Linked DNA regions of Cricetulus griseus. Each later gene encodes a partner of the first gene's protein in a complex. Links are inferred from orthologs where the notes say so. Each region holds a gene or a part of one and is shown in the gene's direction. Other genes may lie near its edges.

Region 1 (4,273 bases):
ACTTACTCCCTGCTATGAGCCTATTGTCTGTGGTTCTGAGGATTGTTATGCTTGTGTGTGTTACTTTGACATAAGTGTGAAGTAAAACTTATATACTCAAAACCAACTCGCTGAGTCTGTCATTCCTCCCAGGTCAAAACCTGGTAAGGGCTCGAGACAGAGTTCCAGAACCATTAGGGCTACACAGAGAAACCTTGTCTCAAAAATAAATAATAATGGTGTACACCTTTCATCCCAATCCTCAGGGAGTAGCGAAGGTGGATCTATTTCAGTTTAAGGCCATCAAAATCTACATAGTGAGTTTCAGGACAGGCAGGGCTAATTAATGAGACTTTGACTCAAAAAAACAAAAACAAAAACAAAAACAAACAAAAAACCCACACAAAGAAAAAAACACCACTAGTAGTTAATAAGTTCTTTATATTCATAAGCACTCCTGATGTTGATTTTCTTCTAAAGACGTATGGACTAGGCCGGGCGGTGGTGGCGCACGAATTTAATCCCAGCATTCAGGAGGCAGAGGCAGGTGGATCTCTGTGAGTTCGAGACCAGCCTGGTCTACAAGAGCTAGTTTCAGGACAGCCTCCAAAGCCACAGAGAAACTCTGTCTTGAAAAACCAAACAAACAAAAAAAAAAGCATGGGGCAGTTTGACTCCCTCATTAGTAGCTGGACTCTCCCTTGTTGCCCTGGCTGCCTGGAGCAAAAGGACAGTCAGTCTCACAGCCACCTGGGCCTCCTTTAGGCCAGCTAGCTCAGCTGGTACTTTCTATAATGCCTTCAGAAAATGATATAAGCACTTTGGCTGATTGCCATGGCTCCTGAAAGCATAGCCTCAGGCAAGACTGTTTGAAACAGTGTGTATCACTGTTTCAATCTGATGCCTGGATAAATGAATTTATATCACTACTTTTGTTTTACTTTTGAGGCAGTACCCTACTATGTTGCCCTAGGAGGGTCTCACTGTGTCGTCCTGGCAGGCCTTGAACTCACTATGTAAGACCAGGCTAACCTAAAACTCACACAGATCTACCTGCCTCTGCCTCCCCAGTGCAGGGATCAAAGGCGTGCGGCTTATAGCTTGAGCAACAATATTCAGGAAGGGAAAACGAAAACTTGAAAAAACCTTTAGCGGCACCAGGATTCAGCTAACCAGTAGCATCAGGTCACACCTGCCCAGGAGCTCAGGAGCCACACTACAGATTAATTCCTTTCGCCCCGCCCCTCTTCCCTTCCGACAAGACCCGCCTCTATCCCTATGGGCTCCGCCTCTCTATCCAAAGGCCCCGCCCCTTTCCCCTCTGAAACCCGACCTCTAAACTCCGCTACCGCGGGCGAAATCCAAACCCCGTGCCTAGATTGCCTTGTGACTCCGCCCCTACAGCCAAGACCCCGCCCCTCGCAGACATATTTACAGATTGGACGGTACAGAATACCTCGTTTCCCAATTGGTCACAGGGAAGGGCAGCTTCATGACCCGGAAGTGATCTCGGAGGCGGCGGCCGCGTGGTTCGTGTATTCACCTACTGGATTGCCGCAGTCTCTAAGATGACCAAAATAAAGTCCGTTCCGGAGGAGTCTGAGGCGCAGGCGGAGGGCTGCAGCGAGGAGCGCACGTACGAGGAGCTGCTGGTCAACCTGAACCCCATCGCGCAGCCGCTGGCGTCCCGCCGCCTGACGCGCAAGCTCTACAAGTGCATCAAGAAGGGTGAGGCGGCAGGGCGCGTGGCGAACGCGGGGCGGAGCGGGCGGCGGGCAGGCGGGCACGGGCTGGACGAAGTCGCGGCTCACCCTTCTCTTTGCAGCCGTGAAGCAGAAGCAGATTCGGCGTGGGGTGAAGGAGGTTCAGAAATTTGTCAACAAAGGCGAGAAAGGGTAAGAACCAATCCTCACATTGGTTTTTAAGTTTTATGTGTGTGGTTTTTTTTTTTTTTTTTTTTGCAGCTCTGGGGATTGAACCTAGGGCCTGTGCATGCTAGACAATTAACTCTGCCACTTGAGTTTGCGTTTTCAGTTGGTTAAGACTGAATTACACCTACTTAAGTGCTCAGTAAAGGTGAAGTTTACTCTGGCCTGAACTGCCTTCACTACAGACACCCACATCACTTACAGGAGCTCCCAATGAACTACAGGGAAGAGAACCCAGACCACGTATCCCGCCCTGTTCGTTCGTTCTGTGGATTGGCAGTTCTTTTCTGGAAAGCTTCAGGCAACATGCTGTAGGGAGACATCTTCCCAAGTAGGCCAGAGGAGAATGAGGGCTACTTTCCACTGCATAGCAAGTTTAAAGCAAGCATGACTATGAAAACGTTACAAAAAACCAAAAGGATAGAATGATAGCCGGGAGTGGTGGTGCAGGCGTTTGTTTAATCCATCACTTGGGAAGCAGAGGCAGGCAGATCTCTTGAGTTCCAGGACAGCCAGAACTGTGTATAGATACACTATCTCAAACTAACAACAAAGGAGAGAATGGATGAATGTTGGTTTGGGGGTTTGGGATCCTGAGAAGTATCTCATGAAGGCCTTTCAATTTTTTTTTCTTTTTGACTTATTTTGTGTGTGAATGTTTTGCCTAAACATATATGTGTGTCACTGGTGTCCTTGGAGATCAGAAGAAAGCAAAGTGTCAGATCCCCTTAGACTGGAGTTACAGATGATTATGTACCACCATGTGGGTGCTGGGAATTGAATGTGGGCCCTCTGGAAGACCAGCTGAGGCACCTCTCTAGTCCTTGTGGGGCTTGTTTGGTTTTTGTTCTCAAAGCAAAGTGAACACTGAGAAGTGCTATTGAGGAAGAATCAGGAGAGGCAAGTCAGACTTAGGAAGCTGTTGCTGTAGCCCAAGTGAGGGGTCGGGACTAGAGTGAAGGTTGGAGGATTAGAGAGGACAGTGACAGGTCTGTGCCTCCCGTGCGCCCGTTTGGGGTGTAGTCTGTGACTGCAGACAGTGAAGGAAAACCATGTTTGTCTGAAAACACTTTAGGTGTGGTTTTAGACAACTTTTCAGTATTTCAAAGGGTACCTTTATTACATGTGTATGTGCCTGCATACATATGTTGCATACATGTGCACTCTGGTGCTTATGTGGGTGTCAGAGGACAACTTGGGAGAGTTGATTTTCTCCACCATTTCCGTTCCGGGGACTGACCGAACTCAGGTACCTGGGGTTGGCAGTGAGTGCTTATATCCACTGAGGCATCCTGAGTTGACATGGAAAATGTCCTGGACATGCTATGCTTCCCTGTCCTCTTAACAGATGGTTGTGTTTGGTGGGGCAAACGAGGCCTGGTATTTCCAGGTGGCACCTGGCACCATGATTATGGGTCAGGGTAGCCAAGGAGAAGGGAGCACAAGGGAGGGCAGGCAAGCAACAGGCAGTGAGGACCAGTGCTAGGCCAAAGGGAATGAACTATGGAATCAGGGTTTTGAACCAAGGATTCTTGATCTGTCACTCACCCTTAAAGAATATTCTTCCTCTGGGCGGATCATTAGGACTATGGGTCTGTACAGAACACTGACAACTCACAACTTTAGTTGACATTTTTACTCTGGCAAACTTTCTCTTGGAGCCAGGCGTTGGTGGTGCACACCTTTAATCCCAACACTCGGGAAGCAGAGGCAGGCGGATCTATGTGAGTTCGAGACCAGCCTGGACAGCCTCTAAAGCCACAGAGAAACCCGGTCTCGAAACGGCCCCCCCCCCCAAAAAAAAAAAAAAAACCTTTCTCTTGGGACAGACCCTGTCTGTTTTCAGACCCCTGCCAATTTCTATGGCTTTGTTTTTTGGTCCTCTCCTGTATGTATTGCAAAAGGCGACCCTTGTTCTTGGCAACCAGCCTTTCAGTACCACTCTGTTCCCTTGGCCTTATTCTGTCCCTGCCCCTGCCATTCTAGGAGCCTATTTGTGGCACTCAAGTCTCTGTTGGAGTCATCTCCTAGCCGGGCAGTGGTGGTGCACACCTTTAACCCCAGCACTTGGGAGGCAGAGGCAGGCAGATCCCAGTGAGTTCGAGGTCAGCCTGGTCTACAGAGCGAGTTCCAGGACAGCCAGGACTATCGTACACAGAAACACTGCCTCGAAGAACCAAAAAAAGAGTCATCTCCTAGAATGTCACTGACACTTAAGAGCTGAGTTTCTATTTCTTGGCATTCCTCCCATACCTCATCTGTCCCAGCATTGTACCGCTTGTCACATTTGGTGGTATTTATGTGCTGTCAAATAGAGATCATGTCCCCCAGAAGAAATACATTTGCCAAACACGACTTTACACTCC
Region 2 (3,049 bases), on another chromosome or scaffold:
GACTGTCTTGCCTTAGCCTCTTGAGTGCATAAATTAGAGTCCTTGGTCACAACCGGTGCCTTAAAATTACCATAAAGTCTTTCACTAAATTACTTTTTGAAGTTATTAAATTAATTACATTAAATTAATAGATTAGCATAGCTGAAAAGTCAAACTAAGAAAAGTTTGAAGAGAAAAAAAGGAGATAAAAGGGTATGGGAGGATGAAAACGACTAAAATTCGGTGTGTGTGTGTGTCTGTGTGTGTTAAACGGTAGACAACAACAAAAACCACACAAAACAAACAAAAAACCCAGGGCATGCAAAATAAAATACGCAGCAGCAAGCATTCTTTCCATCCATTTCCCTGTAACCAAATCCTCCTCCAAGCCAGAAGATGCCGATATTAACTGTTTCTAGTACATTCCCGCCCCTCGCAAAATCTCGTGCATGTGTACACGTGTACACGTGTACACACACACACACACACACACACACACACACACACACACACACCACACACACACACACACACACATACACACACACACACACACACACACACCGTTTGGCTTTTTGTTTCTCAGTTTAAAGCAGGGTCTTACTGCTCGAATACTGCTCAGGTCGGCCTTGAACCTACTGGTTGCTAGAGATCCTTCCGCCTCAGCCTCCGGACTTCTGGGGTTACAAGCCGGTGTTAAACTCCCTAGTTTTTTTTAATATATCTTATGAGACGACAAGTAAACCAACTATATTCATTACTAAAAAAAAAAAAGAAAAAAAGAGAAAAAAAACTAAAGTTTTTCTGGCTATAAATTTAATATGTTACAATATTTTTGCCACTATGAATAGTGCTACAATGGTCATTTTGCAATATCTTGGTTTTAATTTTAATTTTTCTAAACTAGACTCTTATAAGACTTTTTATCTTTGAAAAACTGGAAATACTCCAAGAAAGTTACCTTACTGTGATATTATTCGCTACTCACCATGTAAGAAAGAGATGAATTTGTGGTCAGGTCCTGAGTTTGAATCTTGGTGCAGCCTCTAAAACAAAATTCACCAGTTTCATAAGAAAACCTTTACGTTCTTTTCGCTTTGCATAATATCGAATACCCATCATGCACTCTTTACCGCCAACACTTTGAAATGGGGCGGGGAACCGGATGTAAAAGTGGGGGTCTGAAAAAAATCTTACATCTTCCCTAGGATATAGGAGGTTGAGTATCCTGGAACCCTTGTTTCTCCAGGAACTACAAAACTAATGCCTCTGAAATGGGTGAGCAATTTGAGAGTAAAGACAGGACTGGATGCATCAACATTTAACCCACACCCATCCCTACCTCCCAACGTCTGGGAGTCCCTGGCACACAGTGGGCAATTCCATGGCTCTTTGCAAGGCAACTTTGCAAGGTTGTAGCTAGTTGGGAAGACCAAGGCCAAGTTCTGCTCCACTGTGCCCCCTTCTGGTCAACTGGATATGACTGGAGAAATGGACTACATTTCCCGGCATGCCTTGTACCGACTTCCGGTCAGATGGGAAGGATGTTGGCGAACACGGTTGAGGCGGTGTATTCCAGGCAAACGCGCCTGGCTGCGGAAGAGTGAGGATCTTCGTGCTGAGTTGCAGTCATGTTTCTCCAGTATTACCTCAACGAGCAGGGCGATCGCGTCTATACGTTGAAGGTAAGGGGAGAAAACAGCTGTAAGTCGGGAGGACAAGAAATTTAGGTGGGAGGAACAGTTGGAACCGGCCGCCGGCCAGCGCAGCCGGGTGCTTGGAGCCACGTCCGGGCCGAAACGTGGTAGATGCCGGCATTGCACGACTTCTTGTTCTGACCGCCGCGTCTCCTGGCTTCAGCTTTCCCATTTTCTTGTTGTCCCCTTGCTAGCACACCACTCATGTATTGAGATCATTTTCTTTTTTTCCTCGAGCAGAAATTTGACCCTATGGGACAACAGACTTGCTCTGCCCATCCTGCTCGGTTCTCCCCTGACGACAAATACTCAAGACACCGAATCACCATCAAGAGACGCTTCAAGGTGCTCATGACCCAGCAACCGCGTCCTGTTCTCTGAGGGTTCGTTAATTTTCATGTGCTGCCCTACCCCAGGCCGATTATCAATAACCAAAGGCGTCAGTCCGTGAGCAGTGAAGCCTTCCCATGCTGTTTGGAATCCTATCTTACTACGTGACTGAGTCTGTCGTGATGGGCATCGCCTGTAAAAGGAACAGTCTTAACTTTTTTTTTTTTTTTATGCTTTGAATTACTGCCAGGTTATTAAAGAGACAATGTCTTGAAAGTTCATTTTGTGTGTGATTGGAGGGAAAGATGGGGGAGTGTAGTGCCGTTGCTAGTACAAGGCCACTTGAGAACAATGGTAAGCCCTCACTTTTGAAGTAGCAATGCGCCATGAGTGTTAGGGTGTTGGGGAAGAAAGGCTGAGAAAGACTCCTACAAAGGTCAGCGTTCACTGAAAATATACTCCAGTCCCTGGAGTAAATTGTGGCCCCTTTAAATAACATTCCGAATTCCTCAAAGAATAATAAAGGCATAAAGACTTAATTGGCAGTTACGAAACTGGTACTGTTACCCCCTCTTTAAGGAGTAAAGGCACTCAACTTGTTTAGTCCTCGTTTTTGTTTTTGTTTTTTTCCTCAATTTTAAGAGTGGGAAGGAGCCTGGCGGTGGTGGCGACGCCTTTAATCCCAGCACTCAGGAGGCAGAGAGGCAGGCAGAACTCTTGAGTTCAAGGCCAGCCTGGTCTACAAATCGAGTGCCAGGCCAGGCTGCAAAGCCACAGAGAAACCCGGTCTCGAAAAAACCCCCCCAAAAAAAAAAAAGAAAAAGAAAAGTGTGTGTGTGTGTGTGTGTGTGTGTGTGTGTGTGTGTGTGTGTGTGTGGAGGTGAATCTTCTTAGTAATTATACAGTTGTTTGTTCAGCTGTCATAAGTGGGAATGTCTTTGACCAAACTTGCTGTCCTGGAAATCTATCCACACTTTTTTCTCTCTAGTCAGCTTACATATAATAACCCTACATCTGTTACATCTGTATTTTCTTTGGCAGCC

What was found.
Region 2: Nhp2 (region 1) and Nop10 share a complex: the UniProt entries of both Homo sapiens proteins name them as parts of the H/ACA small nucleolar ribonucleoprotein (H/ACA snoRNP) complex. The link is inferred for Cricetulus griseus from reciprocal best matches to the Homo sapiens genes NHP2 and NOP10.

The regions. Positions count from the first base shown.
Region 1 is NC_048600.1:65,901,315-65,905,587, forward strand, and holds the start of Nhp2 (H/ACA ribonucleoprotein complex subunit 2), read left to right. Parts: upstream 1-1,465; 5' UTR 1,466-1,547; coding exon 1,548-1,707; intron 1,708-1,804; coding exon 1,805-1,874; intron 1,875-4,273. UniProt on the Homo sapiens protein: Required for ribosome biogenesis and telomere maintenance. Part of the H/ACA small nucleolar ribonucleoprotein (H/ACA snoRNP) complex, which catalyzes pseudouridylation of rRNA.
Region 2 is NC_048599.1:66,084,086-66,087,134, reverse strand, and holds Nop10 (H/ACA ribonucleoprotein complex subunit 3), read left to right. Parts: upstream 1-1,522; 5' UTR 1,523-1,610; coding exon 1,611-1,664; intron 1,665-1,916; coding exon 1,917-2,057; 3' UTR 2,058-2,287; downstream 2,288-3,049. UniProt on the Homo sapiens protein: Required for ribosome biogenesis and telomere maintenance. Part of the H/ACA small nucleolar ribonucleoprotein (H/ACA snoRNP) complex, which catalyzes pseudouridylation of rRNA.